3 linked regions of the Xenopus tropicalis genome follow. The protein of the gene in region 1 purifies or fractionates together with the protein of each later gene. This does not show direct contact. Links are inferred from orthologs where the notes say so. Each region holds a gene or a part of one and is shown in the gene's direction. Other genes may lie near its edges.

Region 1 (3,390 bases):
CATGATTACACAACTTCCAGTAACAGAATATTGTGTGTATACTTCTCTGACTTACAGGAATTTACAAGCTCAGGATCAGCGAATGCAGAGACTAACAAAGTTGCTGGCAGCTTGGAAACCAAATACAAATGGGCAGAATATGGCCTTACTTTCACAGAAAAGTGGAATACAGATAACACATTAGGGACAGAGATCACTGTAGAAGACCAGGTAAATATCCTAATTTGAGATAATTTAACTCTGGAACTTGTGAGTAAGATATGTCTTACAATTTAAATACATAATATGTTTTCTCTTTAGCTTGCAAAGGGTCTGAAGCTGACATTTGACTCTTCATTTTCTCCTAACACAGGGTAAGAAGAATCTGCACTTAAATAACTGAGAGTTTTTAATTATATACAGCCCTCCAAGGGGAGCATGAATTAGTAGCTGGGGGACCCAGCATGAAAGATTAGGGTAATTCCACATAGGGCTAATCAGGGGTGTAAACGTATTTGCTGTCCTAGCTATCCTTGTAACTGGCTGAATAATTACATTTATAGAACGTTCAGCATAATCAGATAACCAAAGGCCATCCACACCATCCAGTTCTTTTCAGTATCAAATTTGCCACTGACAGGCAACAGGGATGTTCCTAGATAGCATAGGTTTTTAGCTCATCTGGAACTGATTTGCCAGACTCCTTATGCTTGCTCAGCTCCACTGTAAATTTATAGGACTACTGTGAGTGAAAATAGATAGGCGTAAAGCTTACAAATAAATTATGCATGAGATCTAGGCAACATTTAAATCTGTATAGTGTAGTGGAAAGATGGCTGAAACTCTGTGTGGCTTTACTAGCAAGAGGTATTAATTATTTGTGTTATTATTAGTTACTGGTAGGATTACCTTTTGCTTTGATTTTCTGCCTCACACAACTTAGCAAGTTTTGCTGGGTTACACAAACACTTCAAAATATTGAAAAAACAGTGCATTTCACTGGGTTAAACTAATGTGACTTTGGCAAACAAAAAAGCTTTATCCAGATTTGATCCTCGCTGAATACTGGGGAGAGCTTTTGTGTAAAACTGATATGTATATAAAACATATCTTAAACAGGCGTGTAAACAGATGGGGTGGGGTGGGGGTGCATGCTTGACACCCTTGGTAGCCAAAAGACACTTCCTCAGAAGCATTAGCACCAAATTATAGCATTAGGAATATTTAGTAAGTCAAAACACACAATATATATTATAAAACAGATAAGGGAATCTATTCGCTAATAATAATTCCTAATACCAATTTATTCTTTTCTCAAACTATATAGAAAGAAGAATGCAAAAGTCAAGACTGCATACAAGCGAGAGCACCTTAACATTGGCTGTGACATGGATTTCGATATTGCTGGCCCATCAGTGCGGGGAGCTGCAGTGTTTGGCTATGAGGGATGGTTAGCTGGCTACCAAATGACTTTCGAATCCTCAAAGTCCAGAGTCTCCCAAAGCAACTTTGCAGTTGGATACAAAACTGATGAATTTCAGTTGCATACCAATGTGTAAGTCAAACAAAACATTTCTTGTATAAGCAATTCAGCACAATGTTAAAACTTTCACTGCTAATCCACATAAACATTTTTGTGATCTTTTACTTTTACCCTGTGGGGAAACATTTTGTTTTCCAAGAGATTTAGTTTGAGTCTACAATAGCTTGTAAAGGTAATGGTAATAATGAGAAAAATGGCAAATTGTGAAACACCCACAACGATGAACAATAAACAACAGTGCATTATTAATAATGTACTAAATATCCATGAATTCTAAATGTTATACTAATCAGCCAAGGAATTGCTTCTACTGTTGCGAGGGGGTGTGGACAATTGCAAATCATTTAGTGAAAAAAAGAAATAGCAAAACATTGTTGTGGTCAAATCATTGCCCTGACTATTATGAATGAATACAGGATTATCCTTTTATTATCTCATACTAATAAAAACAATTAGTGGGGCATTAACCCCCTTATAGGCTGCTGCTAGTTAAAGGTAACTAAAATAATACATTTTCAGTGACATATAAACCTGTATCGCAGAATTAAAAAAAATATATATATGACTATAATAAATATGCATATATTATAATATGGTTAAGGATTCTGAAATGATATGGGTTTTAACATACAAGGGGTCCTACTGCAGAGCATCTTATGGATTGTGTATATATATATATATATATATACTGAAACAAGCACAGCACTCCTAGGATTTAGGGTCTTATTCATAACATTCATGCACTTATTTTTTTGCCCACAATAGCATTTTTTATATTTTACATAATTAAAATAGACCAAAAAAACTATAAACAAAGACACATCTGATTTAGAAAGCCCCATATCTTCTAAGTGTAGCAATACCAGATATGGATAGTTTACCAAGATTCCTGAATGAGGTACCTGAGATATTTTTTTGCATTTGGTCATATCTAAGCATCATAGACATTTGACATAGACTTTTTAATAGAAGATAAATATTGTTTAGAGAGGTTGAACTTCAACCCTAAGTAACTTAGACTCGGCCCATATAAAGCTGACAATATAACGTATATACAACGCACATGTGCTAGGGTTCATTTCATCAGAAGAACTAACCTTTCTCATGTTTTTGGCTTGACCTAGAAGTCTGCACTAGCAGACCCAAATTTTGGTTTTAAAAAATGAAAATTTGGCTCTTAAAGTTACCAGAGGCGGCTTTTTGCCAACCCTAGTAACTGGCTGCTCACTGCCACCTGAGGCAAGGTTCTCACAGGAGCAGCCCAAATCAACCATTTATTCCTCCAGATTTTTCTGCTTCCTGGTAACTTACTTATATGGACAGGGACACCAGAGCAGCTCCATACCTGTGGAATTCATTTGCAGAGAACAGAGGCACAAAATACATTCTACAAAAAAAGTCCTCAGTTCCTGCAATGACATATCAGCCTTGCTGATCCTAATTATAAGTAACACGTTTTTATCTCAGTGAGAACCATTAACATAACATTTCACTAACATACCGATTTTATATGTTGTGTCTCGCATATCCCTATTTGGATTGTAAGCCCTACTGCATTGTGGGCCCTTTTGCATTGGTTTTTTATTGAAAAGTACAGATCATTTACAATGTTGCAGAAAATGCTGGCATGTTTTAAATTGTCCAGTAATAATAATATTTGTGGTATATTGCCAACAGAAATGACGGTACAGAGTTTGGTGGTTCTGTATATCAGAAGGTTAATGATAAACTGGAAACTGCAATCAACCTTGCATGGACAGCAGGAAACAGCAATACACGCTTCGGAATAGCAGCCAAATATCAAATCGATAGTGATGCTTCGTTTTCAGTAAGTACAAACAATGAAGCACATCTTCATAAACTTCATC
Region 2 (3,500 bases), on another chromosome or scaffold:
AGTAATGCCCTGTATCCCAGGCGGGTGGCAGTTGGGGGGGCCCCAGTCTCTGTGCGGCCCCTGGCACCGACCCTTCCCATATCAGTTGCCAGTGTGGCATCTCTGCCGCTCTCTGTCTCGTCACCTTGTTGTACTGGGAGGTGACACATACTTCTGCCTTCCTGTTTGTTTTGGCAACGGCTGGCAGCCATATTATCCCTCTGCTCTGGCACAGCCGGCGTTCCCCGCTCACACTCCGTGTGGGTACCTTACGCAATCTGTGGCCATTTTGTACAGCCGCTGTATGGGAATAAGTTCTGTGCTCGCTGTTAGGGTGCCCCCACCCCTGTGTAGGAGCTGCCAGGCAGGATTATAAGAGGGTGGGGCTAAAGCTACTCCATTAAACAGATTTGCCCCTGTATAGGTACACAGGGAGGCGTTACACATGGGCAGCTTCGCCCACTGCCGGTGAATGGGGTCATTGAAGGAACATAATGCCGAGTTGTACTGGGTTACACAGTGCATAGTGTGTGTGTGTGTGTGTGTGTGTGTGTGTCTTTCCTGCATAGGAAAACAAGGGCACACCCATCTCTGGGTGCCATGTTGGGAACCTCTAGGGGCGCTGTTTCACTGGGGTCTCAGAGTATGGCAAGGGACAGAATGACCTATGTTTTGCAGAACATTGATAGGAAAGGCATTAAAATAAATTGGGTGAACTTGCCCTTGACACTTTTTTTTTTTTTTTCCTCCCCACAGGCCGGAAGAGACAAGTATGAGCCCGCAGCTACCTCTGAGCAGGGGGGCAAGAAGAAAAAGGGAAAGGGGAAGGATAAAGACATGGATGAGTTAAAGAAGGAATTGACCATGGTAAGTGGGGGGCATCTGGGTCATGATGGGGGATTCCCAGTGAGAGAGAGGAAAAGCCTGGGGGGGGGGGGGGCTGGATCCCTTTCCCCTGTAGGGGGGCTGGTGTATCCATTGTGCCAGAAATGAACCCCTCTCCTTCTCCCCTTTGCAGGAAGACCACAAACTGAGTCTGGATGAGCTGCACCGCAAGTTTGGGACGGACATGCAAAGGGTAAGTCATACGCTTGTGTGATTGGTCAGTGTCTCTAAGGGTCCAATGGGGAAATGGATTGTTCATTCCCTTCAACATTCTCCTTTCTGTTTCTCAGGGTCTGAGCACGGCCCGGGCAGCAGAGATCCTGGCACGAGATGGACCCAATGCCCTCACCCCGCCCCCCACTACTCCAGAGTGGGTGAAATTTTGCCGCCAGCTGTTCGGGGGGTTCTCTATGCTGCTGTGGATTGGAGCCATACTCTGCTTCCTGGCCTATGGTATCACTGCTGCCACGGAAGAGGAGCCAACGAATGATAATGTGAGTGATTGCTTGTTCTGTACAGGGCACTGGCATGGAAGTCTTGGTACCAAAGGCTGACTCTCTATCTTCTTCCCTACAGCTCTACCTCGGTGTTGTCTTGTCCGCTGTCGTTATCATCACCGGCTGCTTCTCTTACTACCAAGAGGCAAAGAGCTCTAAGATCATGGAGTCCTTCAAGAACATGGTTCCTCAGGTGCAATTCCTTTGCAATATGTTTGCCCTGGGGTGGGATCATATAACCTACCCCTCTTTCCTCCTGCCCTGCTAAGGGGGCAGAACACCAACAGTCTCCGCTCTCTGCTATGGGTTAAATACTTAGTGACGTTCCTGGCTAATTGGCCAGACTTTGGTGGGAAACTACAGATACAAAGTACCTGCCCCCTGGGTCCTAGTGATGGCAGCACCACATTTACTATGTTATACGAGAGCTGCAGGGAGTTATTTATAGTACTTGGCTTGTAATGTAAATATGTTACTGTATTCTGGCCCCTCACTCCCCCCCCCCCGTCTTCCCTTGGTATTGGGTTTCCCCTGTGTCTCTGACTTAATGGAGACTTCTCTGTCACACAGCAAGCCCTGGTAATCCGAAACGGAGAGAAGTTGAGTATTAATGCGGAAGACGTGGTTTTGGGTGACCTGGTAGAAGTGAAGGGAGGAGATCGGATACCTGCGGATGTTCGGATCATCTCCGCTCATGGCTGCAAGGTGAGAGCGGGGAAAGTAAAGGCTGTTCCTCATGGAATGATCCATCACGTACACACAGGCAGGGCGGGGGGGTCCTACACATGGGAAATAGTGGGGTTTCCTGTAGTGCCGCACACACCTGACCCAACTTCTACCGTAGGTGGATAACTCTTCCCTCACTGGAGAGTCCGAACCCCAGACCCGCTCTCCTGACTTCACCAATGAGAACCCACTGGAGACCCGCAACATCGCCTTCTTCTCTACAAACTGTGTGGAAGGTGAGATGTCACGCCTGTGTGAAATAACCCGACGTCCTTATTGGGCACCCGTGCAACTGGAGCAACGTTGGGTGGGGGCAGCAGAGGTAAAGGATGTTCATTATTTAACCCAACTCTTTTCTGTCTCACAGGCACAGCCCGTGGCGTTGTCGTCAACACCGGTGATCGTACAGTGATGGGCCGTATCGCTACTCTGGCCTCTGGCCTGGAGGGAGGACGCACCCCCATTGCCATTGAAATTGAGCATTTTATTCACATCATCACCGGCGTGGCGGTCTTCCTGGGGGTCAGCTTCTTCATCCTGTCACTCATTCTGCAGTACACCTGGCTGGAGGCTGTCATCTTCCTCATTGGTATCATTGTTGCCAATGTGCCAGAGGGACTGCTGGCTACTGTCACGGTGAGTGCGGCTGACTGTCTCTCAATATAAAGTGCAGTGTGTAAGTGGTCGCTCTGAAGCCTGGCTGTGCCCAGCCCTGGGCACCAAAAGGAGGACTGGGCAGTTATAGTGCCAAACACGAGCTTTTCCTGTTCCACCAGATTTTCACTGGCCCCAGGATTCATCTGACCTTTTTTCCCCCATTTTAGGTTTGCCTTACACTGACCGCCAAAAGAATGGCCCGCAAGAACTGTCTTGTGAAGAATCTGGAGGCTGTGGAGACTTTGGGATCCACTTCCACCATTTGCTCCGACAAAACGGGCACCCTGACACAGAACCGAATGACCGTAGCCCACATGTGGTTTGATAACCAGATCCATGAAGCCGACACCACGGAGAATCAGAGCGGTGAGTTGGGCAGCCGTGGGCGCTTGGTGGTGTCCTACTGCTCCTGTCGCTTACTGGAAATTGGTTCTCTTTTATGATTGGCTGATGATTTTGGCTTTTTTTTTTTTTTTTTTACAGGTGCCTCCTTCGATAAGAGCTCCCCCACATGGACAGCCCTGTCCCGGGTTGCTGGATTGTGCAACAGAGCCGTGTTTCAGGCTGGACAAGAGAACACCCCCATCCTAAAGGCAAGTTCCTCTCCACCATCGTGTTGCACCCCACCCCTGCACCGAGAACTGGTTGCACCCTGCATAGCTACGTCTGACTTGGTGCCTTCAGACAAATGCTGTGCTGGCTCAGTGTTATAGGAAAGGGTTAAAGAGAAACTCCTCCCAAAATCTCTTCTAAAGC
Region 3 (3,284 bases), about 690 kb from region 1:
AAAGGTATCTGAACATTAACGTGGGACTTGTTATGACTCAGTTAAAAACATGAATTAAGTGCTAAATTACACCAGTGGATTACTTGTAGCATCCAATCAGCACTGAGTTTTGAACTGACTACTACTACTAAGTCAGAAAACAAAAGCAAAGCTCTGGTTGATTGTTCATTTCTCATTTTCACTATATGCTGCAGATACATGGTTTATCCCTTTTTAGTGGCATAGATGAATAATGCTATGACATTAACATTCCAGGAAATCAAACTTGAATGACATGTGTATGTGTCTACACTGTCTGCATTTGACATAAGTGTCCGGCTGTCAAAGGGTTAAAAATCTTTGCATTTGCTTTAGCCCCCTTGAAGGATAGAACTTAGTTTTGCCTTTCAAATGTATGAATTTTGGAGCAGATTTTGTTAACATTACAAGCAGAGATATCAACTAACCTCTTGGTGGTAATAGTGATCAATTCTGGGTATTTTGAGGCCTTATTTAGGGTGAAGACACACAGTGCTACTAGTAGCAGCTACTTTTTCAAGGCTACTAAACGCCAGGAAATACCCTGCCATAGACAATACTAAGAATTGCCTCTGCTAAAACATGCGTAGTGACAATTATCAGTTATCAGTTGTCTTTCTTAGTAGCCACAACAAGTAGCTGCTCAGCTAATGTTAGAGTAAATGGTTTAAAAAAAATCCAGGACTGGATTATTATCACTTTGGGTTATGTATAGATTAACCCGATTTGATTGCGATGACAGATTGTATTGTGATTTGAAATAATCTATTAAATAGGCACACTAATAATGTTACTCTTTTAGAGAGAAAAGAGTGCAAACGTGACCATCGTGGACACTGCGGGCAGGAAACCCCACAAAACGTAGTTCATCCGAACGTGACCTGTGATGGATGTGATGGGCCTGTGGTGGGAAACAGGTTCAAGTGCCTCATCTGCCCAGATTATGATCTGTGCAGCACTTGTGAGAAAAAAGGAATCCACAAGGAACACAACATGATCATGTTCCCTACCCCACTGGTAAGCTCTACAGATATATTATGAAGAACCACTGAATTTCATTTCTCTAATGGTATTTATTGGAATGGAATCATGTTTTTATATAGTAATTTTATCAGTTAGCTCTGTTAGGAAATTAGCACCTTGGATCTTACACATTGTTTAGTCTATCACATATTACATGTTAGTCTTATTGCACATAGTAATTTAAAGCTGAATTATTTGCTTTGAAAAGTTCTACCTTGAAATACTGCAATCAGTCTGTTTTTCAGGTCTATCCGCGCAGCCGTTGGTTCCGTAAAATGCATCATGGAGTCCCTCCCTTCCCATGGATGCAGGGCTGGGCCTATCCACCCAGAGGATACCCCTGCCAAAATTTTCAGCAGGCCCAGGAAAGCACCCCTCCTCAGAATGAAACCCCAGCAGAGGAAGGTAAACCTGTGCAAATGAGAATCTCTTTGTATTAATGTTATTTTAGCACAAAGAATACTTGTGTCCTTAGTTTGGCAGCCCTCTCAATGCCACATTTCTGTGCAATATTAACTTGACCCATAAGTGTACAGGTGGGGTCCAAGTGATAATCATTAAAGCCAGTGAAGAGGTGCTTCTCAAGTAATTATCATTAAAGTCAGTGGAGAGGAGCTTCCCAGTTGTCTGAAGTCTGCCCATCCATCCACCCACTGAAATGGAAAACACATGGCCATAAAACTGCTGGGAATAGCCCTTTGTGCCAGTGCACGTAAGGGCAAAGGCTCATGGAGCTACTATCCAAAGGGATACTTATAACTTCTTCAAAGCATTATGGCTTTCTGAATGAACAATGCAAACACAAAGCAGGGGCTTTTGTTTTGTGGAACGTGAACTTTTATAGTTGTTGTCCCTTAAATGGAGGTTGCATGATTTAACTTTTTTACTCCTAGAGGAAATGGTATTGTACTTTAAAGACATGTATATTTTCTATGAAAAGGTTAAAATACTTATATGTAATTCCTTTTTGAAGTGAATTTGCCTTAGGGTAATGGCATAGAACATTGGTGAGTTTTGAGGAATTAAGCTGTAAACTCAGTTTGATAAATCTGCCCCTAAGCCATGTGTGATGCTGTATAGCAATAGCATAATAACAGCCCTTTTCCCTTCCAAAGCTGCAGCCACCAGTGACTCCCAGTCTTCTCAGAATCCCAATGTTGCCTTCCTGAAGAATGTCGGAGAGAGTGTGGCTGCAATGCTGAGCCCCCTGGGTAAGTGCCATTATTAAATTGACATTGTGGGGACCATTAATTATGCATTAAGAAAATGATAAATGTCTCCATAATCTAATACCCTATTTATACTGACTTACGATTAATCCTGAAAGTCCTAAAAAATGATTGCTCTCTTTCTTAAGTCCTCTTTGATTCCTTGCAGAAATAACCCAGCATTTTTTTGAAGGATTCGGTTTTGACTGAATCCACGGTCCCGGCGGAACCGAATCCTAATAGTATATAAATGAGCCTTTTCTGTACTTTCCTCAGGCATTGACGTGGACATTGATGTTGAGCATGGCGGAAAAAGGACCAAAGTTTCAACTTCACACCCCTGTTCTGTGGATGGGGACTCGCAGCCAAACAGCTCCACTTCCTTTACAGAAAGCCAGGATATCGCCAGCAGATCTGACTCGGCACCTAATCTCATGGAAACTGAGCACATCGCAAAAAGAATGAAAGATATTGCACTGAATTCGCCTCTTCCACAAGACAATGTGAGTTCTTTTGTGCTGTCTTTACCTAACATTTTTTTCCATGGAAGATAATATATGATAGATCTCAGTCATGCTTCCTGTTAGAGATCACCTCATCACCACAGGGTGTCTAACCCCAATCCACTGCTTCTAGGGTCACAAACTCTGTCTTAAACTGAGTGGTATGTGCATTTCTAGGGGGAAGGGGGGGTAAACCGTTTTAAGAGATTGAGCTGTAATCAAGATGTACTTCTTACAGTTTATATATTTATATAATACAGAGCTACAGTACATTAAACATGTTACCTGCTATGTTTACATCAGGAACAAGGGGAAAATAGCAGCAGTGCTTCAGGGGGTGATGATGACTGGACCCATGTCTCATCCAAAGAAGTTGATCCCTCCACTGGTGAACTTCAGTCCCTTCAGCTTATGGAGACAGGCCAGCCGTGTTCCTTAGATCCAACCAGATCTTCTGCTCTGCCCACACATGCACCTACAGGGCTTAGAGAAGCTGCTCTTTATCCACACCTCCCACCAGGTAATCTATTTT

What was found.
Region 2: the proteins of vdac1 (region 1) and atp1a1 fractionate together in Homo sapiens (co-fractionation; 3 studies listed by BioGRID, with this or other methods). This does not show direct contact. The link is inferred for Xenopus tropicalis from reciprocal best matches to the Homo sapiens genes VDAC1 and ATP1A1.
Region 3: the proteins of vdac1 (region 1) and sqstm1 purify together in Homo sapiens (affinity purification with mass spectrometry; 3 studies listed by BioGRID, with this or other methods). This does not show direct contact. The link is inferred for Xenopus tropicalis from reciprocal best matches to the Homo sapiens genes VDAC1 and SQSTM1.

The regions. Positions count from the first base shown.
Region 1 is NC_030679.2:22,887,148-22,890,537, forward strand, and holds part of vdac1 (voltage-dependent anion-selective channel protein 1), read left to right. Parts: intron 1-57; coding exon 58-210; intron 211-300; coding exon 301-353; intron 354-1,306; coding exon 1,307-1,534; intron 1,535-3,199; coding exon 3,200-3,350; intron 3,351-3,390. UniProt on the Homo sapiens protein: Non-selective voltage-gated ion channel that mediates the transport of anions and cations through the mitochondrion outer membrane and plasma membrane.
Region 2 is NC_030678.2:1,064,509-1,068,008, reverse strand, and holds part of atp1a1 (sodium/potassium-transporting ATPase subunit alpha-1), read left to right. Parts: exon of another isoform or gene 1-505; intron 506-735; coding exon 736-846; intron 847-997; coding exon 998-1,057; intron 1,058-1,154; coding exon 1,155-1,358; intron 1,359-1,440; coding exon 1,441-1,554; intron 1,555-1,931; coding exon 1,932-2,066; intron 2,067-2,205; coding exon 2,206-2,323; intron 2,324-2,454; coding exon 2,455-2,723; intron 2,724-2,911; coding exon 2,912-3,110; intron 3,111-3,227; coding exon 3,228-3,337; intron 3,338-3,500. UniProt on the Homo sapiens protein: This is the catalytic component of the active enzyme, which catalyzes the hydrolysis of ATP coupled with the exchange of sodium and potassium ions across the plasma membrane.
Region 3 is NC_030679.2:22,199,356-22,202,639, reverse strand, and holds part of sqstm1 (sequestosome-1), read left to right. Parts: coding exon 1-4; intron 5-820; coding exon 821-1,035; intron 1,036-1,255; exon of another isoform or gene 1,256-1,274; coding exon 1,275-1,446; exon of another isoform or gene 1,447-1,452; intron 1,453-2,156; coding exon 2,157-2,252; intron 2,253-2,525; coding exon 2,526-2,752; intron 2,753-3,037; exon of another isoform or gene 3,038-3,055; coding exon 3,056-3,272; intron 3,273-3,284. UniProt on the Homo sapiens protein: Molecular adapter required for selective macroautophagy (aggrephagy) by acting as a bridge between polyubiquitinated proteins and autophagosomes.